Canis lupus familiaris: one gene and its partners. The protein of the gene in region 5 purifies or fractionates together with the protein of the main gene of each other region. This does not show direct contact. Links are inferred from orthologs where the notes say so. Each region holds a gene or a part of one and is shown on either strand. Other genes may lie near its edges. The genes, in order: AKAP11, ARHGEF12, LSG1, ACBD5, VAPB, OSBPL10 and TACC1.

Region 1 (3,500 bases), on a different chromosome or scaffold from region 5:
ACAAGTTTCTTTTTATGAAAATTATGTTCTCAACATAAAGAAGGATGAATCGCTGTTGGCTATAAAACTAATGACCTGTAGACCCATATCATCACTCCTGCTTAAAGAGGGCTGAGCTAAAAGCAGAGCTCACACAAGTAAGTGCCCTCCCACACTGAGGTGAACAGTGGGCATGCTGGCAGACGTCACGTCAGTTTGTGCCAGTCGTGGAAATTTGTTGGTGACGGTCCCTGATTCTTTTTTAAAGTTTGCAGGGCATTCTAGACTACTACTAATCATTTCTAGGATTTGTGTTGGTCCCTAATGTTTTCACTTAGACAACAGATCTGTGTCATTCTCTTAAGATAAAAAAAAAAGTACTGCCTTTTCCCTCCTCTCCCCTCAATGACTCTCAATCAAAAAAGGGGTCTGGTACACCATGATATCATGATACCAGACATGACACAACTTTCCTAGACAAAGTTAACATTTTTTTCAGTCAACAAAATAAAGCAAATATTACCTAGCCTATCTGTATCTCTAAAAATATTGACCTATCCCTATGTCATATCCAATGACAAAAACTTACTTCTAGAAGCCCTATATGAAGAATGTCTACTTAAAAACAGAATGTCTAACTTAGCAGAAGCACTGGGACTAAAAAATAATCACCTCAAGTCTGAGGATTTTAGCTCAAAAATGGGTACATGACTTCCCTAAATAAGAAAGGCATAACTGGAGGTAAAACTAACTGGACACTCAGGTGTTAATAAAGTACATTTCAAGAATTCATTTAGGCATTTTTCTCAGTTTGCCCTACTTCTAAGGAAATGATGAAAAAAAGCACTAGCTCAAAAACAAATATCTCAAACACTATAAATATTTTTAGGTGCTGCTCTATAGAAGACATTATTGGTATTTTCATAATTTAAAAAAATAAGCCATCTAAATAAACCAGCTGAATGAAAATTCAGCTTCAATATAGAAAGTTTCTACATTCACTCAGATACTCTAATATTGGAATTAAGGATTACAAATCATGGTCCAGAACTCTGTTACCAATGACTTCTGGTATTTAGATATTTGGCACTGTGTTCATCAAAGGAAGAACTGAATATTTTCTTCAAATATGTCTATTTGTGAATTCAGGAATAGGACTGAGAGAGGGAAGAATGTATCTTAAAATATCTTTTAATTTTTACCTTCTGATTTATGTAAGATCAACATTAAACACTAATTTAAGAAGTTACTAGTTTGGAAGGATAAAACTAGAGCATATGCCATGATTTTAATAAATTATATATTATAATGTAAGGGTTTTATGTTTTAAAAAAGATAATTACACAGAGAGAGATTATCATAAATTTCCCTCTCAAATAACTGAATAACTCTTTTTAAGTAATTCAGTTTTCACACCAATGGGTACACTTCATTAGTTTAGCAATCAAATGGTACAAATGGTTCAATAAAGGACCTGTCACCGGATACATTAGTTCAGGACTGTTGTGATTTGCAAATACCCTAATTTATAATAACCTGGAGGCCCACAGATGAAAACGCACGAAGTGAAGACTCTTCTAGGAAACCTTATACAAAAAAACATGCAAACACTTTGAAAAACAGTCATTTACCTTCTCCATCATCCTCAGGATCTTCATCTTTATCATCTGGCTCATCACTTTTCAAATAAAAGAGCAGAAGCAGTTAAAAAAAAAAAAGCTTTAATTAAAATAATGGTACTAAAACCAATTCTTAAAACATGGAAAAGAATGAATGTTACGATATGATATATGACATTTAAAAAGGTAAGAAATGACAATTTAAAAGGAAGCTTTGCTTCTCACACCATTTCACGTTAAAATCTGAATTGTAAACGATGCCTAAACAGGTAGGTCATCAGTAACCAAGAAGGCCTACCTTACCGTGATACAGAACACCAAGTAATTTCATGATCAAATTTGATTTCAAATAATTTAAAGTTAAAATAGTCTACTAATTTGGTTCTGGATAACACAGCATTTGAATTATCATAGAATGCCATGAATATTCATTAATGCCTCTGCTGATGTCATGTACATATTTTTAACAGAGTAAATTTTTTTCCTATGCTTTCCTTAAATATGAAGTAAAATTACATACAAAAACAAATAAAACAACAACAAAAACCAGAAATCCTGTAGGAAGCAAGCTCTTTTTAATGAAATAGTAATTGGTAGGATGAAAAATAGCAGGCGGAGCACTACATGCATAGATGTAACACATTTTGCAATTAGAGGTCAGTTGTATCTTAGCATAATTGAATTTTGTCATTAGATGTAAATTATCAAGCAGGATCAAGTCCAAACACAGGAGGAAAGCAGGTTGATACATACTGGCACTGTAACCCACGTTCTTTTCAGAGTATGACATCATGCATTAGTGTGAAAGACTCATCAGTTTGTAAGTTTCTGGACCGGACCAACCTGTCTGATGTTGGAAAGGATAAATTGTCCTCATACAAATCTCCTTCTAAACCAAGACTGCTCCAGCTACTGCTGTTACCATTACTGCCAGAAGAAGAAAAGAACAGAGCTGAACCAGAAAATGAATAGTAAAGACGACCTGGGTTTTCCTTGGAACAGCTTCTGTCAGTGGTAAGTGGGAGGTTCGGGTGAGAGCTGCCCCCGGGGAGGGGGGCATCCGTGGAGGCAGAAACCATCACGGCTACCGACGGATTCGGGTGTTTGGGAGTTTTCTTATTTGGCCTCCACACATCAGGAAAAATAGTCTAAATTTCTATTTATTTCACGTATGGACACAACAGAATGACTTTTAGGACAGTAGATGAATGCCTCAAGAAGTTTCATGATTAAATTCATGTTTAGGCAAATCTTGGGCTATAATTTGTAAGAAGCCAAAACTCTTCAGTTTGGGTAAAATTTTAAAAAAATCACAGGTTACCGTTAACATTCTCTCAGCTCTTTAGACAGATGGATTTGGTACTGAAATAACAGGCACCAAACATAATCCCAAATAGACCTTTTCTAACTACTTGGAGAAAAGATGTTTTCTGATTTCTTTTTTTTTTTTTTTCTTGATTTCAAAATACCCTTATTATGTCAATTACCTTCATTTCATACATTATGTATAATTCAGTAGGTGGCAAATAACATCCATTTTCATCAGATTTTTGAGTAATCAAGGCTTAATCGAGCAATACACCTGTCTGGTGGGCCAGTCACTAATGCCACACAGACACCTTAAACTATCTAATCAAAAGAGGAAAGCAAACGATATCCTAACATTGCAGCAAAGCAAAAAGAAACAATAAGCGACTGTGTTCAGAAACAATACTAAATTTAATTTTTCAGATTAAAACCTAAACATGCGATTTAAAATTCTAATCATTAAAATAATTAGTAAGCACATTAGTTCGCAGTGATAAGCAGCTTATGTTTCCCCACATTAGGCTAGGCAATTACAAAAATTAATATGTACACAAAACCAAAATTTTGGTTTTAAAAAGTGAATTAACACAAAAT
Region 2 (3,500 bases), on a different chromosome or scaffold from region 5:
TTAAAAACATATACACTACAATTGATAAGAAATTTCCAAGGGTATTTATATTTTTCATCTTTGACATTAACTTTAGATCCTAAGTCCTGTGGTAGCACTTCATATACAAAAGGCTAATGGTGTGGATGAGCGTCTGGGGAGGGGGATGTTCAATGATCTGATCACTTCTTTATGTTATATGCTCACATACAACATGGATGCACTTAGAAAAGTTTACTGTTATGATGCTTTTATATACTCACAATCTTTCATCTATTAAAAATGTTAGGGACAAAGATTTTTCTTACTGTGAAGTTGAAGAATATCTTCCAAGTTTGAAAAAATCTTCCGTAGTTCTGAAGGGGACAGAATTCCTTCCCTGGACACTCGCTGATAGAATACTTGATCAAGAACCTTTAGTGTTCGGACATGAGCTCTTTCAGTGTAGAACAATTCTAAGCAGAGAAAAAAGGAAACATGAAATGTTACCTCGTTCTGAATAATTCCGTGAGACCAAACACAGGCTCTAGCTGGAATTAAGCAGCAAATGAGCTCTATAATAATTATTTATAGTTTTAAAAGGATGTAGTATCTCTCATGTCACTTTCTAGATTGCATGAGACCCTCCTACATACCGGCTCTAAGAGCTGAGTGCTGGCAAATGAAAAATATCATTCAAAACTATTCTGGGGGCCCTGGGGTGGCTCAGTGGGTTAAGCGTCTGCCTTTAGCTCAGGTCACGATCCCGGGGTTCTGGGATGGAGAACCGCATTGGGCTTCCTGCTCAGTGGGGAATCTGCTTCTCCCTCTATCCATGCCCTCTGTTTGTGCTCTCTCTCTCAAATACAATCTTTTAAACAAACAAACAAAAAAACCCCAAAACTATTCTGTATATTAAAGTTAACAATGGGGCTCCTGGAGAGCTCAGTTGGTTAAGTGTCTGCCTTTGACAGGTCATGATCTTGGGGTCCTGGGATCAAGCCCCACATTGGGCTCCCTGCTTGGGAGGGAGTCTGCTTGTCCCCTTCCTTCTGCCCCTTCTCCTGTTTGTGCTGTCTGTCTCTCTCTCTCTCTCTTGCTCTCTCACAAATAAATAAAATCTTTAAAGTTAACAATGTACTCCAAAATCCTTTTGTCTTTTCACAACACTATTCACCAATCATAGCTAATAACATCAGAAAGCAGTAAGCCCAAACACCATTTAGCCTATTATTTCTTCAAAATAATAGTACTTTTGGTTATCTGATTTGCCTATAAACCCTCATTTCTGAGGCTAGACTTGTTATTTCACTATGTCTCAAAGTTATCAGACACAGGAAAGGTATTTATTGAAATCGCATCCTAAGGATAGTGGAGGGCACAGCATCCATGTCACCCACATCTTTGTCACATATATATATTAGGGCAAAATAAAGAACACTGCACTAGGGTAAAGGGACACCTGACTCCCAGTTTTGTCCCTATCATTTATCAGCTAGCTATATGATCTTGATTCATTCAACCACCCTGGGCCTGAGCTTCCCCATTTATACTATGCATAAAAATAACTTAACGATGAGACCAGGCTGCCTTAATGACTGTTCAACTTCAAGATCTATAATCCTATGAATCTTAAACATCTTGAAAGCTAAACACCTTTTCCTTTTAAATTACCATTAAGAACACAGAATCATTTGCATGTTTTGAGTTGGAAAGCTCAAGGATCATCTATCTAGTTTAACTCCCCTCTGTATAGAACAAAAGGCTAGCAGAAATTTTGAAGCCAACTCCAAAGCTTGGGGGCTTGTTTTAGTCTAATAAAACTCACTGTATGTGAACAACAACAAAGTCTAATTAAACTCACCATTAATTACTTCCTGTCTCTTGATCTCAGAAGGCTTTAGGCCCAGTAACACTTCTCGACTAACGAGCTGTTGCCAGTTGGGTGGATCTGTCTCTAAGTCATTTTCAAACTGTTCATCCTCACTTTGACTTTCTCCAAAAGCTATGCTGTCAAACCTGAATGAAAAAAACCAAAAACCAAAAAACAACAATGAATTCTATTTGGGGACATCAGATGGACAATGGGAAATGGAACAAGTTTTTCTATTACAGTAAATAAGTCATATTTCTGAAGTACTGCTTAGCACAGGGCCTGAAACATCACCCTCTCCTACAAAATGACTTATCTATGTTATATATACCTCTATAAATATCTTTTGAATGATGTGTGTTTATTAAGAATTTTCTTTTATACTAACAGATTTGTATACAGGTTTTCCTTTCCTTTAAAACTACGATGTCAGAGAAAAAAAGATATTATTTCTTAAAATATGCCTCTATTGAAAGCTACTTTAGGATTACTTACTTTCGAAAGGGTTTTGGTGTCCCATGCTCAGTCACCCTAAAACAATGGGGAACAAAGGGTCAACAAGAAAACAAAACAGTAATCAAGAAATTTATGCCTGAACATTTTCCAAACATACAAATGGCCAACAAGATAAGAAAAGATGTTCAACATCACTCATCATCAGGAAAATGCAAATCAAAACCACAAGGAGATATCATCTTGTCAGAATGGCTAGTATCAAAAAGACAAGAAATAACAAGTGTTGGCGAGGATGTGGAGAAAAAGGAACCCTTGTGCACTGTTGGTGGAAATGTAAAATGGTGCAGCCACTGTGGAAAACAGTAAGGAGGTTCCCCAAAAAATTAAAAATAGAAATACCGTACAGTCTACTAAGTTCATTACTGGGTATTTACCCAGAGAAAACAAAAACACTAATTTCAAAAGGTACAGCATAGCGAATACAGTCAGTGGTGTTCTATGATGACAGGCAGCAGCTACACCTTTGGCTAGCACAACATAAGGTATACATTTGTTATCACTATGTCCTATACCCAAAGTGAAGGCAATGCTGTATGTCAACTACACTTCAATGAAAAGGAGAAAAAAGAAATTTATGCCAGCAATACTAAAAACTGGGTTAAACTACAGTGACGGATAAATAATTCTTCTAGATAGTCAAATGATTTGATACAAAATAAATTTAAAACACTTCAGTAGAGACACCTGAGTGGCACAGTGATTGAGAATCTGCCTTCAGCTCAGGGCCTGATCCCAGGGTCCTGGGATCAAGTCCTGTATTGGGCTCCCTGCAGGAAGCCTGCTTCTCCTTTTGCCTATGTCTCTGCCTCTCTCTGTGTCTCTCTCATGAATAAATACATAATCCTTTAAAAAAATAAAATAAAATAAAACATTTCAGTACCTAATATTTACTACCAATAAGTTCTAGGACTTTCCCAAAAAGCACATGTGGGGGAAATGCTACTAAGTGTAGGAATAATATACAATGAAATAGCTGAGGGTTCTCCTAACATCCCCACCCTCCAAAGATACCACTGAATCACCTTTCCACTTCCCATTCCTCCTCCTGCACTTGGTCTAAGGGAGGAGGTGGGAAATCAAAGATGGTATTGGGAGTCCGAGGGGTATTATCTATGCAGTCTCCAGATGCTGGTGTTTCTCCAACTTGCTTTGA
Region 3 (3,500 bases), on a different chromosome or scaffold from region 5:
TTTGATAAATAAGGCAGACTTGTTGACTGTTGAGCAGCGGAGTGCCTGGGCCACATATTTTGAAAAAGAAGATGTGAAGATTATCTTCTGGTCGGCTTTGGCTGCAGCTATTCAACCAACTGGGGACTCTGAGGTAACCTGGGGGGCTTTTTCAGATTGTGTTTCTGGGAGGAGGATTTCAGTAAGCTTTGTTTTTCTCACTGAAGGTTTATGGGAATCCAGGGTTTTTGTTTGTTCCTTAAATGTTCTGATAGTAGGATGACCTATAGAAAAATGAGTCACAGGGTTACTTTTTCTGGCCATCAAATAGTCTGACATCTCGGGCTCTGTGTTATAGACTGATGGTTTTTTTCTTTTTTTTTTTTCTTTTTTCCTTTTTTAGATTTTTGAAAGGAAATTGTATAGGAAGCTTCATAATGACCTTATAATTGTTTTTAGCAGGAGGCAAGTACAACCAAAGTATGTACCTGTACTCCTCAGGACGTGATTAGAAGTTCTTTCGACATTGTTTTCAAAACAAACAACTGAAGTAATTCTAAAGATATACTGTGTTATTTTTTTTTTTTTTTAAGATTTTATTTATTTATTCATAGAGACAGAGAGAGAGGCAGAGACGCAGAGGGAGAAGCAGGCTCCATGCAGGGAGCCCGACGTGGGATCCCGGGACTCCAGGATCACACCCTGGGCTGAAGGAGGCATCAAACCTCTGAGCCATCCAGGCTGCCCTGTTTTTTGTTTTTTAAAGATTTTGTTTATTTATTCATGAGAGACACAGAGGAGAGACACAGGCAGAGGCAGAGGGAGGAGCAGGCTCCATGTGGGGAGCCCGATGTGGGACTCAAGGATCACACGCTGGGCCGTAGGCAGACACTCAGCCAGTGAGCCACCCAGGTGGCCCTACTATGTTATCTATTAACTCAAATTTTACAGAAATGGTTTGGGTTTGGTCTTTTTGTTGTTTTATTTTGTTTTTTTAAGTCCCACACCCAGTATGGGCTTGAACTTACAACCCCAAGATCAAGAGTCACGTGCTCCACCACTGAGCCAGCCCTCAGGTTTATTTTCTAATAAAAAAAAATACAACTATTAGCTAATAATGACTATCAAATGAAATCAGTAGTAGAGTCTTAGAGCTAGGGAAACCTGGGTGACTCAGTGGTTGAGCATCTGCCTTCCGCTCAGGGCATGATCCTGGGGTCCTGGGATTGAGTCCCACATCGGGCTCCCCCAACAGGGAGCCTGCTTCTCCCTCTGCTTGTGTCTCTGCCTCTCTCTGTGTCTCTCATGAGTAAATAAATAAAATCTTTAAAAAAAAAATCTTAGAGCCAGAAGAGACTTAAAGTATCTTTTTTCCTAGCCTTTTCCTTTCCTTTTCTCATATCTGTCAGCCGTCTAGAGATTATTTTGTACGTTGAGCTGAATGTCAGTGAATACAATGTCCTCCTCTTGATGAGCTCACAGATTAGCTCTGTGAATTCCTTCCCTCACCTCCATGGCAAAGTCATATAATCTTTTTTTTTAACTACATTAAATGACAGAGACCAGCTAGCCCCCTCTTTGTCTACATTTAGAAAGTTTTTCAGTTTAGTGAAGCTAAGTCAGCCTCCCTAGCCTTTGATATAAGGACTCTTTCTTTGTCCCCTTCGTTTTCTCTGTGTATGTTTTCTGGGTTCTTATTCATCTTGGACACGTTATCTGGGGCACTCTTCATCTCAGATGCCTATCTGCCTAATCAGGAAAACACTTAAAATTGGTGGCACCTAATTACATATGTTAGGTATTCAGAGGGACAATTGATTATTCCATGTCATCCGGATCCTCCCAGTAATTCTGTTTTTGTTAATTCACTGTATCTCAGAGGAGCTATGTTACACTCTTAGCTCATTTAATCTGTAAACAACCAAAAAGACTTAAGTCTCATCACTTAAGTCTCTCATGTGGAAAAGGTTTTTCATCTTATTTTTACCTCAACTTAGGACAGTACGGTTCCTCTGAAATACTGTTCATGATTTGGGGCTAAGGTAGAGAATTCATTTTGGTTGTGTAATTTGCTTTTCTCTCCTAGCTTTGAATATGCAAATTTTGTGTTTGTCCTTCTGATACTCTTTCCAGTCATCGGCAACATTGTTAAAACCGGACCAAGGAGAGAGCTCCGTAACCTTCTGTGAACTTAACTGAGCCCTCTGAACCAAAGGTTCTGATGTAATGAGTACAGATGTGTTCACAAGGATATAACAATAGTAATTATTCAGTTGTTACTCCTGTTAATAAAAATCCATAGAAAGCTTATCCTGTGCCAGGCACCACTGTCCTAAGCAATTTATACATTGTCTTCATTTAATCATCCCAATAAGAAACATAAATGCTTATTATCTTCAGGTAGTCTGGCTTCATAGTTTGTCCTTTTTTTTTTTTTTAATTTTTATTTATTTATGATAGTCACAGAGAGAGAGAGAGAGAGAGGCAGAGACACAGGCAGAGGGAGAAGCAGGCTCCATGCACCGAGAGCCCGATGTGGGATTCGATCCAGGGTCTCCAGGATCGCGCCCTGGGCCAAAGGCAGGCGCTAAACCGCAGCGCCACCCAGGGATCCCCATAGTTTGTCCTCTTAAACATTATTGGCTTCAGTTTGTCTTCTTAGCCATTATCTCTATTGTTTCAAGTCTTTACTGGAAGCTGATGTTTTACTGAAGTTTTTAAATATTTATCACTGTATGGCTTAGCCCTGATGTACCAACCCAATAACTGTCAGAAATGGAAAAAGAGGGATCCCTGGGTGGCGCAGCGGTTTGGCGCCTGCCTTTGGCCTAGGGCACGATCCTGGAGACCCAGGATCGATTCCCACATCGGCCTCCCGGTACATGGAGCCTGCTTCTCTCTGCCTGTGTCTCTGCCTCTCTTTCTCTCTCTGTGACTATCATAAATAAATAAAAATTAAAAAAAAAAAAAAAAAAAAGAAATGGAAAAAGAGGGGATCCCTGAGTGGCCCAGCCGTTTAGCGCCTGCCTTTGACCCAGGGCGTGATCCTGGAGTCCCAGGATCGAGTCCTGCATCAGACTCCCTGTGAGGAGCCTGCTTCTCCCTCTGCCTGTGTCTCTGCCCCTCTCTAACTTTCTGTGTCTCTCATGAATAAATTAAAATCTTAAAAAAAAAATGGTAAAGAGGAGCACCTGGGTGGGTGGCTCTGTAGTTGAGCATCTCCCTTCAGCTCAAGGCGTGATCCCGGGGCCGTGGGATCAAGTCCCACATCGGGCTTCCCACGGGGAGGCTGCTTCTCCCTCTGTCTATCTCATGAATAAATAGGTAGTCTTTAAAAACAAAAAGAAAAGAAAGAAAGGAAAAAAAGATTACTTTCTGCAACTACTAATGTGATATTCCCTGAACTGTTAACCAAGTAGAACATTCCATTTTTGCATAATCTGTTCTCAGGGAACCCTTGCTACTACCTTCAGTTGTCTTCTAGGGTTCACCAGCTACCTTGTAGACCTGCTCCCGTGTAT
Region 4 (3,500 bases), on a different chromosome or scaffold from region 5:
GTAATAATTTTGTATAAAAATAACATACAAACAGAATGTAAAAAATTTTAAAACACAAGCAAACAGGAAAATAAAAATAATCTCTATGCTTAGTATCTCCAGAAATATCTTCTTTAACATTTTGGTGTGTTTCCTTCTATTCTGCTTTTGATGCATATAAATATTTTGCAAAAATGAATTGTATTTGATATGCTATTTTTATTTTATTTTTTAAAAGATTTATTTATTTTGTTAGTTGAGAGAGAAAGCACGAGTTGAGAGGAGAGGCAGAGGGATAGGGAGAAACGGACTCTGCTGAGCAGGAAGCCCGATGTAGGGTTTGATCCCAGGACCTTGGTATCATGACCTGAGCCAAAGGCAGACTCTTAACCAACTGAGCCACCCATGCCCCTGGATATGCTATTTTTGAACTACTGGTTTGTTTGTGTGTTTGTTTTTCTTTTTTCATTTTATAATAGATTGTGAAACTTTTCTCAAGCCATTCTTTGTATTTTCATAATATATAATTTGTAAGGGCTGTAGTTATAAATCATCCAGTTGTATATATGTATATACGTATCATAATTATTTTGGCATTACCTATTATAAAACATTGGCATTCTGATTTTCCTTGTTATGAAATATTGCAACTTATAGTACTAATGCATACAATAAATTTTTAAAAGGTTACCTTTTATAAAAAGGTTATAGGTATGTTAGAGACATGTATGCACACTGATTTTCAAAGAAATTGATGTGTTCAAAATTACAAAGGTAGGAAGTGTGAAATCTCTTTTATCTTGGATTGATTCTTTTTCTATCACAGCACACACTGGTTGACTTTAGTCAAACTTCCTTATCCATTAAGAAATTGAAATTTGGCCAAGAGAGTTGAATTTCTTTTTTTTTTTTTTTTTTGAATTGAATTTCTTAATATTGAAGTTTCATTAAGCAGACTGTACATTTAACTTTTTCACTTATGCTAGGCAGTTTGATTTGTCACTATCCTTGTTTAGAAAATACCTTATTAATAGTTGCATAATGCAGCTATTCTGTATTTTCATATATTGCTTTTTGAAATGATATTTTCCAGTTAGTTACATCTAGAGCATATTTGTTCATTTATCCTTTTATTTATTGAACTATGTTAGGCATTGTTATTAAAGTGTAACAATCTCCAGAGTTTTTTTTTTTTTTTTAAGATTTTATTTATTTATTTATGAGAGACACAGAGAGAGAGGCAGAGACATGGGCAGAGGGAGAAGCAGGCTCCGTGCGGGGAGCCTAATGTGGTACTCCATCCTGGAACCCCGGGATCATGCCCTGAGCCAAAGGCAGACATTCAACTGCTGAGCCACTCAGGTGCCCCAAGAGTTTTATTTTCTTTTATTATTATTTTTTTCTTTTTAAAGATTTATTTATTTATTCATTCAGAGAGAGCGAAGAGAGAGGCAGAGACACAGGTAGAGGGAGAAGCAGGCTCCATGCAGGAAGCCCGATGTGGGACTCGATCCTGGGTCTCCAGGATCACACCCCGGGCTGCAGGCAGCGCTAAACTGCTGCGCCACTGGGGCTGCCTGAGTTTTATTTTTTTTTTTTAATTAGAGGACTAAAGCAACTTACAGAGCCATGACATTTGTTTCTATAAGACAAATAAGTGATTATCTGAACTATTAATGAAATATTTAAAAATCACTATTATTATAACTGAGCTGATTTATAGCTTTAGATTGTCAATTGTATTCTCCAGGTGATCTGTTTTTGATATGTTTCCAATAGGTTCATTTCAGCCAACAAATGAAATGATGCTCAAGTTCTATAGCTTCTATAAGCAGGCAACTGAAGGACCGTGTAAACTTGCAAGGCCTGGATTCTGGGATCCTATTGGAAGATATAAATGGTAATTTCATATAGGGAGCTATGAAAGGAATTTTATTTTAATGACATAATTATCATATGACTTATTTATGTGGTTACATATTATTCTGAGCAGATACTGTTCTAGCGTATTGGATCCGATTTTTATCCTCCGCGTTCTTTTAACACAATTTCATATGAAGAGAAAAGTCTTGGGGAAGAGAGGAAAACAGTAAAACCAAAAAGGACAGGTGTATCAAAGATAAAAAAATCATTTTCAGGTAGTCTTTCCTTTTAGGAGTTTTTTTCATTTTATTGTAAGAAGAGCAACTCCCAAGAGCAGTTAAACTCTCCTGCCTCTTTTACCAAGAAAAATAATGACTTTTACTTGCCAAGTGACACTGTTTACTTTGAGCCTTTAGGTGATAAGTAACTAGGCACATGCTGTGCTAACTTTTGGTCTGGGCTATCACTCTTGTCCCACTGTACTTGAATAGAAATTTGATTTTTAATATACATAAGAAAGTCGTAAAATAGCCAGAGAAACCTCCATAACATGGACTGTACTTTAGGAACAGAGTATGCTAGCTGGTGTAGCAGATCTTAAGAGCCACACATTTTGATGGTTAAATTTATTTACACTGAATTGGAAGTCCTTAAACTCCTTTGAGGATTTCTTAGTACTATATTTTCCTCTAAGTTCTTTGTGAATAGTCATAAATAAAAGGTTAAATGTAATAGCTGTCTGTTAGTTGATCTGTTTTAAGACAAGTGATTTACCTTACGATTTTTCCCTCAGAATTGACCATTGGTGGATTTAAACTGCTTCTGGAAAAAATGTGTAAAAAGAAAGAGTTTCATTATAGGCAAAAATTTCAGAGGACTGTTGTCCTTATCTAGGGGTTTAAAATGTCTTATGCAAAAAAAATAATAAAATAAAATAAAATAAAAAATGTCTTATGCCTCACATTTTTGTTTCTAAGAAGTAGGAAGCCACTTTTATTTTTTGAGTATATGTTAGACTCTTGTTTAAAATTAATGGAAACTTTTAACCAGAATTTCTGTTCATTTAAAACATGGCCATGATAGTTCATTTCATATAGAGTCTTTTAAAATGTTCGTTACTGTCACCATTCTTTATCATACAAAATTTTTGAAGAGTTCTTAGCAAATATTTTTCAACAATATATAGTATCTACTCTATGGTATATATAATAGTCTCTGTAACTTATAGTTTATAATTTACAGATGGGCTACATATTTACTACTTTTAAATAATATTTAATTTGACAGTTTATTTTCTCTGATACTTTTTTTTAAGATGATACTTTTATTTCTTTTTTTAAGATTTTATTTATTTATTCATGAGACACACACACACACACACACACACACACCCCAGAGGCAGAGACACAGGCAGGGGGAGAAGCAGGCCCCATGCAGGGAGCCTGATGTGGGACTTGATCCCGGGACTCCAGGGTCATGCCCTGGGCCTAAGGCAGGCGCTAAACTGCTGAGCCACCCAGGGATCCCCTAAGATGGTACTTTTAAAGAGATCCTTTGGAAGCATAATATTTTTGTATAGGCTTTAAGAAGAAAGCCTGTTTTAAATTAATGACCCTATAGCATTGACTACAAATTGTATTCTGAGCAATTGGAAATTG
Region 5 (3,500 bases):
TCAGATGGGTGATGTGGGCAGCAGAATTGTCTGGGCAACTGTGTGTACCGAAACATTGAAATCTGTTGTGTTGTTGGATTTCAGTAGACTTTCTCTGTCCTGAAGGTAGAGGGAACTCTGTGTCCCAAAGATGGATGTCAGGGATATTTGCATTTTGATTCCCTATTTGCTTTTTTTTATGTGATATGATAGGGGAATGTGAATTCGCAGAATGTGAATCTGTCTTCTATTGGAGTGACTGGTGTGGCAGAAGGAGTGGGTGCTGGGTTGCACTTGGCTCTGAAGTTTTGCTGCTTCATGACAGTGTGAACTAGGGTTTAGGACATGTGCCCTTTATCTGCTGCAGAGGGTAGTGGATAGTAAGCTTTAGAGGAAACCATAAGATGGGGCTCAAAGGCCACAGAACCCGATGAGTGCCCTGCAGGAAAGGCGCTTGTGGAGGACAGCACTCGACCTGGTAGAGGACGAGTCAGTCCTTTGTGGTGGGCCACCTGCATTGAGTGTCCCTCCTTCATGGTGTGATCTCAGTCAGGTTAGTTAACCTTTCTGTGCTCCAGTTTGTTCACTTGAAAACAGGCATTAAAATAATCTCTGCAACAGTACCTACCTCTTAAAAGTTAAATGACATACAGAGCCTAACATACAGAGCCAGGTTTCTGGCACATGGGAGACACTGAGTTTGTATTAGGGCTTCTCATGGTCAGGGCTGCAGGAGGCATTTGCTGCGTGTGAAAAGGTGTGTGTCGGAATTTATCCAGATGTGTGGTTTAGCCAGAGCCTTGCAGCGGATCAGCGGATCATGTATTTCAAAGCAGCCACCATTTCAGAAGGGTGGAAAGTTCTAAGGAAGCCAGTAGGAACAGGGAGGCACCTCCTTAGTGCAGTGGGCGTGACTTGCCGGAGGGAGCCTGTATATGAGATTCCTCTAGGTTTTTGGGGTGTAGGCTGGTTATGTTCTCCCGTGCTGTGATTGTGCTGGTTGTGAAAATTTCCTGACTCTGCATTGGCCAAATTGTATTTGAAGCAATACATGAATACCTTGATAGGGGAAATGGGACCAAGAAAAGCTAAAATGAGACTGTCACTTACATGTCTTGGATTATTCTTCTAGTTTACTTTTTGAAAAGATCATTTTGCTGTTTTGTCTTGAGCAAAAAAGCATATGGTATTTGTACCTAGTTTACTTCGTCTGTAGGGCCTATATCAGACCTCTGTGTCAGGTGGGCAGTTGTGAATGATCCAGGGGCTAGGAATCAAAAAACCTGGATCCTAAGCCCAAGTCCGAGCTCTCCCACTACTTGCTCTTTGATTTGGGCGAGTCCCCCAACTTCTGGATCTCAGGTTTGAGACGTGAAAAGTGGAGAAGACACTAGGCATGTTGCCCTGCTGGCCTCACCTGGGGTGTTTATAAGACTCAGATGAGAATCCTGGTAAACTGCTTTATAACCAAGGTACAAGTTTTAACATAACAAATGGCTGCGGGTAACCAAGCTCTGACCCTCCTAATGAAATATTTTCTTTCTCAGTGATGTTACAGCCTTTCGATTATGACCCCAATGAGAAAAGTAAACACAAGTTTATGGTTCAGTCTATGTTTGCTCCGACTGACACTTCTGATATGGAAGCAGTAGTAAGTACTGAATGCTTCTTACTTTTTTTAGTAATTAAAAAAAAAATGATGAGGTACAGAATTTTGGGTGCATGCATTTCAAAATGTGTCAAAGTTGTTTTTAAAGGGGAATGGTGTTTTCAAGGAGGTTTGTACTTTGACTACCTTTATGGTTTTTCCTCAAATTTTTATTTTAACATTTTATGTAACTTTCCAGAATACTATTCTTTTCTGACTCTTTTAAAATCACAGTTTGCTTCAGCACTTCCTTGTTCTGATGAATTGTGTTTTAAATGGTTTGAGGATTTCTTCCCTTTATACCCCCTTTACATCCTCCATAGGAAAGGGTACTTCTTAGTATAGGGAATGCCTCTTACCACCTCTCCCTGTCCACCACCCTGACCCCCACCCTGCAAGAGCCCAGAGGGATGTGAGACAATGAAATACTTAAATGTCCTCCAGTGCCAAAGGGTTTTTTCCTTGCTTGGTTCTGGTAAGCATGATTTTTTTCCCCCTCCCTAATTTCCCTCTTTTTTTTTTTCCTGCTTAAATACATGTTTAACCCTTTCTCTAATTTCAGTAAAAATAAGATGACTTTGTTTTTATAAAATGAATAAGTGATATTATTGGTTTTCCTGGGAAAAGGTTATAATGGAAATTCTTCTTAAAGTAAACTTTTCCACATTTGAAGAAATCGGCGGACATTCTGCTGTCTGCAGGAATCACAATGTACAGATAAACCTTACCTTACACAGCCCCCACTAGACTGGAGAGTCCTCACATTCACACATGGGAAGAGGAAGGCAAGGTTCCCTCAACATCTGCATCATCACTTTCCAGCTCACCACCCCCAGGCTAGGAGACTGGTCACCTGAGGAGTACCTGCAGTTGGGAGGCAGTGGTGGCTCACAGAGCACCGTGGTTTTTCTCTTTCAAGTTTTATGCAAAGGGCTTTCTATGCACCACTTCCCTTTGTGTCCCAGTGTCCCATTCAGCCTTTTCTGTTAGTCTTGGAAAAGCACAAATGACCATCTTTGTGGATGTTTAAGTTTGGGGCAGGAGATGAGGGATAAGCCAGATACCTTGAGATTTGAGAGAGATGAGTGATAATAGACTACCTTCCCCTTTCATAAGAATGATTATTGAGGCATTTACTACTTTCTCTTTTATTCCCAGAACATGATGTGTCACTTCATGTTAATTTGTGTGAGCAAGGAAATGTATGGCAAATACAAAATTTGGAATATCCAAGAATGTATTCTGCTTGGCTTTTGCTGCATGGCTTAGTGACAAGAGCATGGGCTTGGGTGTCTTGGGTGTGGGGCTGAGCTCTGCCTTTTACTAATGTTGTGGCCTTGGGCAGTTTTCATTAACTCTCTATAGGGTTGGGTTACCTGTAAAAGGGGGATAAAAACGTAGTTTACACTGGTCGTGGGATTCCGTGTGCTGTGTGTGTCAGACACCTGGCACAGTCTCCAAAGCTGTTGTATCTGAGCACTATTATAGGCCAGGCCCTCTATATACAATGAGGGTGAATTTCACTCCTTTTTATGATAATTTTCATAACAGTTAAAATTTTTTATATGAAATGTATATGGTAGGAAAATTTGGAAATATACAAATAAGCACAAATAAAACTAAAACTGACCTGTATTTATTTATTTATACTAGACCTAATCACTGTTATTCAGAGCCTTGTGCTATTTCTTTATTTTTAACTTTTTTTTTTTGTATTTTGATCTATAGAATAGAAGTGGAAAAAATTATACAGTGACTACTCCTATAACGTTTATCTAGATTCACCATTTAATACTTTGCCACATTTGCTTTATTTCTCTTATAAACTTTCTTTTTTTGCCGAACCACTTGACTCTAAGACACAGACTTCAGG
Region 6 (3,500 bases), on a different chromosome or scaffold from region 5:
TCCAGTGAACTCTCACCTGCCTTGTCCACTGAGGGAAAGAAAATGCTCCCGTTAGCCAGAAGCAGGATAATTGTGTTGTGTGGGGGGTAATGGGAAGAATTTGGGGTGGCAGTTGGGAGCCTCAAGTTTCCTGTGTGGTGCCTTCGCTCCCCATCTGCCGTCTCTGTCCCCCGACCTGGAGACCCGGGCGTTGGACTCCATCACCCGGAGGGGCCCTCTCCGTCCTGACAGTCAGTCATTTGGAGTGTCAGTGGCGTTGTGTCCCCTGGTTATCTTGTTTTAACTCTTCAGCTTCGGAGTTCAGAAATGCTAAGTTGGGGGGAACCGCCTTCTGTTCTTGCCCTTTTCAAAAGTATATATGGAGAGGGTGACCCTGGTGGCCGGGTCTTTCCTTGTGATGCCAGGCTCGGGTACACGCTGGAGGATGCCCCTGTCCGGAGCACCGGACTTGCTGCCAGAGAGGCCCCAGCCCCCAGGGGCAGAGGGCGCAGCTGAGGCCGCCTAGCGACCCTCTCGGCAGGGGCGTTTGGGGCTGGCCTCCCGCCCTAATTCCGCCCTTTCCCTCTCGGGTTCTCTCATGATCACCGGGCCCTGCCGGGGGGAGGGAAGGAACAAGAAATGGGGAGGTTTCGGGAAGGCCTGGAGATGCAGACATTTGTGGCTTCTTTTCTCTTTCAGTTGTTTGGCCTCATTGGGGGGTGTCCCACGGCTGATTAAGCCCCTAGTCCCCGCACAGCCTGTCGGGCAGAGCTCCCAGGGTGACCCTGGGCAGCCGGGGGGCAGGAGAGGGAGCCATGGTGAGAGTGTGGGGCTGCGCTTGCCTCCCCTTTACTCTGCCAGTGGCCGCCTGCTGTGGAGGGAGCCCCTGGCCCGAGAGCCCCCTTGGAAAAGCAGACGCCCTACAGCACAGCAATGGCCATTGAATGGTGACCTGTCCCCACAAAAGATGTAGGAAGTAATCACAGTGGCCTCTGAAGGCCATTCTGAGCCAGAATGTCCATTACCTGGCCAGCTCAGAGCCTTGGGGCAGCCAGAGTCTCAGTTTTGTCAAGTTTTGGCTGAAGGAAAATGAAGAAATATCCATTGATTTGCATAGTTGTGTCTTTTCTTCCAGTATATTGTAAAAGCAAAGCAGAAAGAGACTTATAAAAAAATATAAAAATCACTCAATTCTAACACCAAGAAATACATGTTAACATTTGGGGTCTTTTTGTAATACTAGATTTGTGTCACATGTTTGACTTTACATCTGGCTGCTTTTTCTTTCTTTCTTTCTTTCTTTCTTTCTTTCTTTCTTTCTTTCTTTCTTTCTTTCTTTCTTTCTTTCTTTCTTTCTTTTTTAAAGATTTTATTTATTTATTCATGAGAGAGAGAGAGAGAGGGAGGGAGGCAGAGACACAGGCAGAGGGAGAAGCAGGCCCCACGCAGGGAGCCCAATGTGGGACTTGGTCCTGGGTCTCCAGGATCGCACCCTGGGCCGAAGGCGGTGCTAAACCGCTGAGCCACCCAGGGATCCCCTGGCTGCTTTTTTACTTAATGAATGTACGTACTCTTTCCTCTAATGTAGTATTTAATCTCAAGAAAAGCGTTAATAAAGATAGCAGAGTCCCCTCTCCAGGGGGCTGGACTTTTTCCAGCTTCCTCTGAAATCTCTGTGCTTTGCTGATCTCCTGTCTGCCTGTCTGTCTCTTTCTCTCAGGACATCCCTCTGCCATTGTATCTACACCCTTTGCTAGGAGGGGTCTGAGCAAGCTGAGGTGGAGGCAGGGTTGCAGATCTGTAAGCCTTTTGACATTTGCAGTCAGAGAGTATTTTCTCGGGAGTTGGGGACTGTGTGAAGGAAGGAGACTCAGTCTTTAAGGAGGGAGTGTAAGCCAGCTGCATCGCCTTGAACTTGTGTGGCTCTTCTCTCTCTGCCTCCCTCTCTTCTCTTTCTGTCTCTTTCTCCTGGAGGGTGTTAGGGAGGAGCCAGCAGGCCATGGCTAGACTTCCAGCTTCATGATCCTGTGCTGAGATGCTCCAGGTCAAAGTGAGCTGTGCCTTGCAGCCAAGTGATTGGTATTAATACCCAGTAATGAAGTCATTTTAAGATCACTCTAGAACAGTGAGGAACAGGCTCGCTCTCCTCCGCCTATCAGCGATAGTAATAAGGGACCTGCTTTCCAGCCCAATGTCACAATGGCCTTCATTTGCTTTAACTGACTTCCTCATTGGGGTTGTGGGGCACCCGATGACCACATGCATCCTCTCTGGATCAACAAGGAGTCTCGGTCCCGTCCCTGGCAGAAGCATCCAGATTTCTACTCCTCTTTTTGATAGTGATGTCAGTAACAATCCCATGAGAAGCCCCTGTACCAGTCCATTTGCCAGAAGATTCTGTATTAAGTGTCAGCCTGTTTCTTTGTAACTTCTGCTTATTTCTTCTGGCCCAGCCTTGCAGAGCAATCTCCACACATGGGCCTTCCTCTGCATGGCAGCTCTCTGGGCATTTGCTTGCTAGCTGATTGGTCTTGCCTCCCAGAGACCTGGGCCATGGGTCCTTTCCTCACTCCTGCTCTGCCTTGATCGTGTTGGGATTTGGATGCTACTCTTCTAACAGAGATCTCCAAATAAACCCTCTTAGTGGTGGTGTGTGCTGGTCTACCTGGACCCCCTTTGATGCAGCACCAAAAAGCCCCATGTTTGTGGGGACACACCGAGCACTCCCCTGGGTTGTCTGATGTCAGGAAGAAAAGGAAGAAGTCCTTTTGTGCTCTTTTCTTCACATCTCTAAGTAATAAGGAGTTAGTAAAAGAGGGTTTTGTCTGGGGATGGTGACAGCAGTGGAGGGGGAAGTAGAGACCGCTGTTCTAGTCCAGATGAGCAGAGAAGCAAGCCACGCAGAACCATCTAGTCCACGAAAGTGGGGTGGCATCATGCCACCACAGCAGCCACTTCTCCAACCTTGTCTTCTTTGATGTCATTTCCCCTAATCTGTCGCTTGTATATGAATCAAAAGACAGCGTTCTCTGGCTTAAGCCACGATGGATTTGCTTGGTGGTGGTTGCAGCCTTTTCCACGTAATCTCGGGGTCTCCTGTCTGACTTTGTCTCCTTCCGAATGTAGGTGGTGCTTCCCACATTTATCCTGGAGAAGCGATCCTTGCTGGAGATGTACGCGGACTTTATGGCACACCCAGACCTGCTGCTGGCCATTACCGCGGGAGCCACGCCCGAGGAGAGAGTCATTTGCTTTGTGGAGTATTATCTCACAGCCTTCCATGAGGGCCGCAAGGGGGCCCTGGCCAAGAAGCCCTACAACCCCATCATCGGTGAGACGTTTCACTGCTCCTGGGAGGTCCCCAAAGACAGGGTCAAGCCAAAGAGGACTGCTTCCCATTCTCCTGCTGGCCACGAACACTCGGTAGCCGAGGACCCTTCCACAAGCTACAAACTAAGGTTTGTGGCCGAGCAGGTGTCTCATCACCCACCCATCTCCTGCTTCTACTGTGAGTGCAAGGA
Region 7 (3,500 bases), on a different chromosome or scaffold from region 5:
GGGATTCGATCCCGGGTCTCCAGATCTCACCCTAGGCCAAAGGCAGGCGCCAAACCGCTGTGCCACCCAGGGATCCCCAAGATATTTTTAAAACAATGGGATTTATGAAATTGAAAAATACAAAATAACTCAGTTGGAGTCTAAATCAGTGTATTTCACTTGTGTTTGGATTATAGGTTATTGAGAAGAAAACCTTGACTTAAACAAGTCAGTAGTGATGAATGAGAATTTGAAACACTTAGTTGAGTTAAACTGTCCTGGAAGCCTGGAAGAGAAGCAGAAGGAAATTTGTGTTTCAGAGTTGAGTTACTAACAGTATCTAACAATTTGTCTAATTTCTTAATTTTGCAGATTTAAAATTTATAGAAAGTATGTAAAGTGGTTCTTCATGAGTTTGAAACTTTGCACGGAAAATATAATATTGCAGTATTTAACAGCATCATTTTAAAAACTCTCAGGTGCCTTTGTGGCTATCTCTGTTGATTATTCACTGTTTCAAGGCAAATTTCTTGTTTTATATGTTCTCAGATTCTCCAACACCAACTTGGCATCAATAGTTCAGTTAGTTCTGACTATCCACAGTTTCCATGGGCCCCACAAATTAAGTGCTTATTCCCACAAGACTCTGAGCCTCCCTTCCCACCAACTTCATTCAAATGCCAGTTGCATATGCAATGCAACAGTACAATTTCAGTACTTCCGACCAACTGGCTGTAAATGTGCAGGTTGCTACAGCCCTCCTCTTCAGATTTGGTAATTTGTTTAGATGATTCTCAGAACTCAGGGCACAAAGGACAAAGTGGGGTGAAGGTGCAGAGCATCTCTGCCCTCTCCTCTCTGGGTATACCACCTCTCCAGCACTTTGAGGAGGTCAGCAACCTGTAAGCTTCCCAGGCCCTGTTGTTTAGGGGTTTTTATGTAGGTTTTATTACATGGGCATGGTTGATAAATCATTGGCTATTGGTGATTAGACTTCACTTCCTGTTTCTTTCCTCCCCTGAGGTGAGGGTAAGGTGGGGCTGAAAGTTCCAATCCCATCATCCTGGCTTGGCCTTTCCAGTGACCAGCTCTCATCCTGAAGCTACCTAGGGGAAGAGAGAATCCGAAGCAGGCTCCATGCCCACCACAGAGCCCGATGTGATGAGAGGCACCATCTCATGACCCTGAGATCATGACCTGAGCCAAAGTCAGGAGTCCAATGCGTACCCCGCTAAGCCATACAGGCACCCCTTTCTATTTTTAAGAAGACATTCTTTTGAAATATGTTAAAGCAAATCCAAGATATCATGTGTTGAGAGCTTTTTAAAGAGTACCGTATTTGGGGATCCTTGGGTGGCTCAGTGGTTTAGCACCTGCCTTCGGCCCAGGGCATGATCCTGGAGTCCTGGGATCGAGTCCCACATTGGGCTCCCTGCATGGAGCCTGCTTCTCCCTCTGCCTGGGTCTCTGTCTTTCTCTCTCTCTCTGTGTCTCTCATGAATAAATAAATAAAATCTTTTTTAAAAAACTACAGTATTAATAACAGTTAAATGTACATTTGAAAACAGAAACAGAACGGACATTGGACATTGGTAGAGTGTCTGAAGCATCTGTGCAGAACAGTTTATAAGGCACTGCCTTAATTCTAGTCATAAAGGGGTCATGTGAAAATATATCCAAGTGCTCTAAAAAACTTTTCTTGTGCTCAGTTTTTTGATCCTGGATGAGGATTAGGGTTAGAGGGGCATCACGGAGTTCCCTTTAAAATCCCAAGATACCATGATCATACCAATTTATTTGGTTTTTGCTGCTGTTCTTCTATAGTTCAGGTATATAACTCAGGAAAACACTATCTTAGTTTGTGCTTTAAAGAAATACCCTCATGTACACCTTCCTAATTCCAGCATTTCTTCTAATAAAACCCAAGTTAAAGAGGATCTTCGTTTTTCACAAGTGCTTTGAATACCTGGCCCAGCTCAGTGACAGAGCTAAAGAAGAAATAGCTTTATTATTGTATGATTCCTATCTTAGTAAAATAAGGATTATTTGTTTGTTGTTGTTGTATGTGTTGTTTTTAAATAGCCTCATTTTTTTTTAAGTCTTATTAAATCCAGTTGATTTTTCTTTTTTGAGTAAGCTCTATGCCCAGCTTGACCCTGAGTTGTATGTTCTACCAACTGAGCCAGCGAGGTACCTCAGGACTATTTGTTTTTTAAGCTATTTCTGTATTTGATTTTTCAAATTAGTTTTTTTATTTGGTTCTTTCAGGTTTTTTTAAGTCTACAGAGAAGTTCCTCTGAGCAGGCCATGGCGGGTAGGCCATGGTGGGTTTTTCATTTAATTTTGGTTCAATAATTTAAACATTATTCTAGGGAAGAGGGAATACTAGTTTTTGACATCCAAAGATGAAAATCTGTTTACTAAAAAAAAAAAAAAAAAAAAAAAATCTGTTTACTGCATAACATTCAGACCCTGAAGCTGTCAAGAAGTGCCTGGAAACTGTGGTGCCAGTTCTGACCCCTCTGCCTACACTGGCAGCATCTCACGTTTTTTCCAAACCAGTTATTTTAACCTAAGGAATTTTAATAATCACATTAATATGCTTTGCAATAGTCTCTCGATCTATTTAGCTCTTTCTTCAATAGCTCTATTTTGTATAATTATTGTTTGTATAACTGAGATGAAACACGTATACAATTTGGGATAGGAAAATTTATTTAGAGTGTAGTACTAGCTGTTTCCTTTTAGACTGCTCTGCTGACCTTGCTGAACCTTAATAAAAGCAAAGAGGGAGGAACTTGCTGCTGGTCTATGTGAATTCAGCTAGTAGAGAATATTTACACATGCCAAAAAGATAAGTCTTTAATAGATGGCCTTTGTGTTTTGTTTTAGAATCACAAGAAGTTGATGAACAGCTGGTAGCAGAAGTGGTTGAAAAATGTTCATCTGAAACTTGTTCTAGAACCTCAGAAAATGAGGTAGCACAGCAGGCTGTTGATTCTTACTTGGTCAAGGATTTCAAAGAAGAACCTGAACATGATAGTAGCAGAATTTCAGTAGTGAGGCCATTTTCAATAGAAGCCAAGAATTCCACGAATATCCCAGCAGCTCTAGGCACAAGGGCAGCTTATGGCTGTGTAACTGTGGTCTCGGGGGAGGCTTCGCCCTCCAGCATACCAGAAGCCATCCTGGACAAGGCAATGACAGAAGGCACCATGGGAGTTACACTGGAAACTTCCACAGAATCTGATCTAAAGGCTGGCAGTTCCTCTCCAGAGCCTGTTCCCAGCAGAAGCAAGCTAAGAAAACCCAAACCTGTCCCTCTGAGGAAGAAGACAATCGGCGAATTCTTAGAAACTGATATTGCCCTAGAGGGCACGCCTCTCCCCCAGGCATCCTATCAATTCTGTCCTGATGAGATGGATGGGAACACAAGTTCTTTGCTAGAAGGTGCCAGGATCCAGAAATCTCCCCCTGATACTAAGGAAACATCAAGCACTCCCAGCAGTGACACCAACGAT

What was found.
Region 1: the proteins of VAPB (region 5) and AKAP11 purify together in Homo sapiens (affinity purification with mass spectrometry; 3 studies listed by BioGRID and IntAct, counting the BioPlex papers as one, with this or other methods). This does not show direct contact. The link is inferred for Canis lupus familiaris from reciprocal best matches to the Homo sapiens genes VAPB and AKAP11.
Region 2: the proteins of VAPB (region 5) and ARHGEF12 purify together in Homo sapiens (affinity purification with mass spectrometry; 3 studies listed by BioGRID and IntAct, counting the BioPlex papers as one, with this or other methods). This does not show direct contact. The link is inferred for Canis lupus familiaris from reciprocal best matches to the Homo sapiens genes VAPB and ARHGEF12.
Region 3: the proteins of VAPB (region 5) and LSG1 purify together in Homo sapiens (affinity purification with mass spectrometry; 3 studies listed by BioGRID and IntAct, counting the BioPlex papers as one, with this or other methods). This does not show direct contact. The link is inferred for Canis lupus familiaris from reciprocal best matches to the Homo sapiens genes VAPB and LSG1.
Region 4: the proteins of VAPB (region 5) and ACBD5 purify together in Homo sapiens (affinity purification with mass spectrometry; 4 studies listed by BioGRID and IntAct, counting the BioPlex papers as one, with this or other methods). This does not show direct contact. The link is inferred for Canis lupus familiaris from reciprocal best matches to the Homo sapiens genes VAPB and ACBD5.
Region 6: the proteins of VAPB (region 5) and OSBPL10 purify together in Homo sapiens (affinity purification with mass spectrometry; 4 studies listed by BioGRID and IntAct, counting the BioPlex papers as one, with this or other methods). This does not show direct contact. The link is inferred for Canis lupus familiaris from reciprocal best matches to the Homo sapiens genes VAPB and OSBPL10.
Region 7: the proteins of VAPB (region 5) and TACC1 purify together in Homo sapiens (affinity purification with mass spectrometry; 3 studies listed by BioGRID and IntAct, counting the BioPlex papers as one, with this or other methods). This does not show direct contact. The link is inferred for Canis lupus familiaris from reciprocal best matches to the Homo sapiens genes VAPB and TACC1.

Annotation. Positions count from the first base shown.
Region 1 is NC_049243.1:8,448,249-8,451,748, forward strand, and holds part of AKAP11 (A-kinase anchor protein 11), read right to left. Parts: intron 2,526-3,500; coding exon 2,442-2,525; intron 1,658-2,441; coding exon 1,611-1,657; intron 1-1,610. UniProt on the Homo sapiens protein: Binds to type II regulatory subunits of protein kinase A and anchors/targets them.
Region 2 is NC_049226.1:13,568,684-13,572,183, forward strand, and holds part of ARHGEF12 (rho guanine nucleotide exchange factor 12), read right to left. Parts: coding exon 3,370-3,500; intron 2,363-3,369; coding exon 2,327-2,362; intron 1,978-2,326; coding exon 1,823-1,977; intron 435-1,822; coding exon 288-434; intron 1-287. UniProt on the Homo sapiens protein: May play a role in the regulation of RhoA GTPase by guanine nucleotide-binding alpha-12 (GNA12) and alpha-13 (GNA13). Acts as guanine nucleotide exchange factor (GEF) for RhoA GTPase and may act as GTPase-activating protein (GAP) for GNA12 and GNA13.
Region 3 is NC_049254.1:31,813,509-31,817,008, forward strand, and holds part of LSG1 (large subunit GTPase 1 homolog), read left to right. Parts: coding exon 1-133; intron 134-3,500. UniProt on the Homo sapiens protein: Functions as a GTPase. May act by mediating the release of NMD3 from the 60S ribosomal subunit after export into the cytoplasm during the 60S ribosomal subunit maturation.
Region 4 is NC_049223.1:4,726,527-4,730,026, reverse strand, and holds part of ACBD5 (acyl-CoA-binding domain-containing protein 5), read left to right. Parts: intron 1-1,758; coding exon 1,759-1,879; intron 1,880-3,500. UniProt on the Homo sapiens protein: Acyl-CoA binding protein which acts as the peroxisome receptor for pexophagy but is dispensable for aggrephagy and nonselective autophagy. Binds medium- and long-chain acyl-CoA esters.
Region 5 is NC_049245.1:43,969,102-43,972,601, forward strand, and holds part of VAPB (vesicle-associated membrane protein-associated protein B/C), read left to right. Parts: intron 1-1,526; coding exon 1,527-1,630; intron 1,631-3,500. UniProt on the Homo sapiens protein: Endoplasmic reticulum (ER)-anchored protein that mediates the formation of contact sites between the ER and endosomes via interaction with FFAT motif-containing proteins such as STARD3 or WDR44.
Region 6 is NC_049244.1:13,246,347-13,249,846, forward strand, and holds part of OSBPL10 (oxysterol-binding protein-related protein 10), read left to right. Parts: intron 1-3,105; coding exon 3,106-3,500. UniProt on the Homo sapiens protein: Probable lipid transporter involved in lipid countertransport between the endoplasmic reticulum and the plasma membrane.
Region 7 is NC_049237.1:27,450,074-27,453,573, reverse strand, and holds part of TACC1 (transforming acidic coiled-coil-containing protein 1), read left to right. Parts: intron 1-2,871; coding exon 2,872-3,500. UniProt on the Homo sapiens protein: Involved in transcription regulation induced by nuclear receptors, including in T3 thyroid hormone and all-trans retinoic acid pathways. Might promote the nuclear localization of the receptors.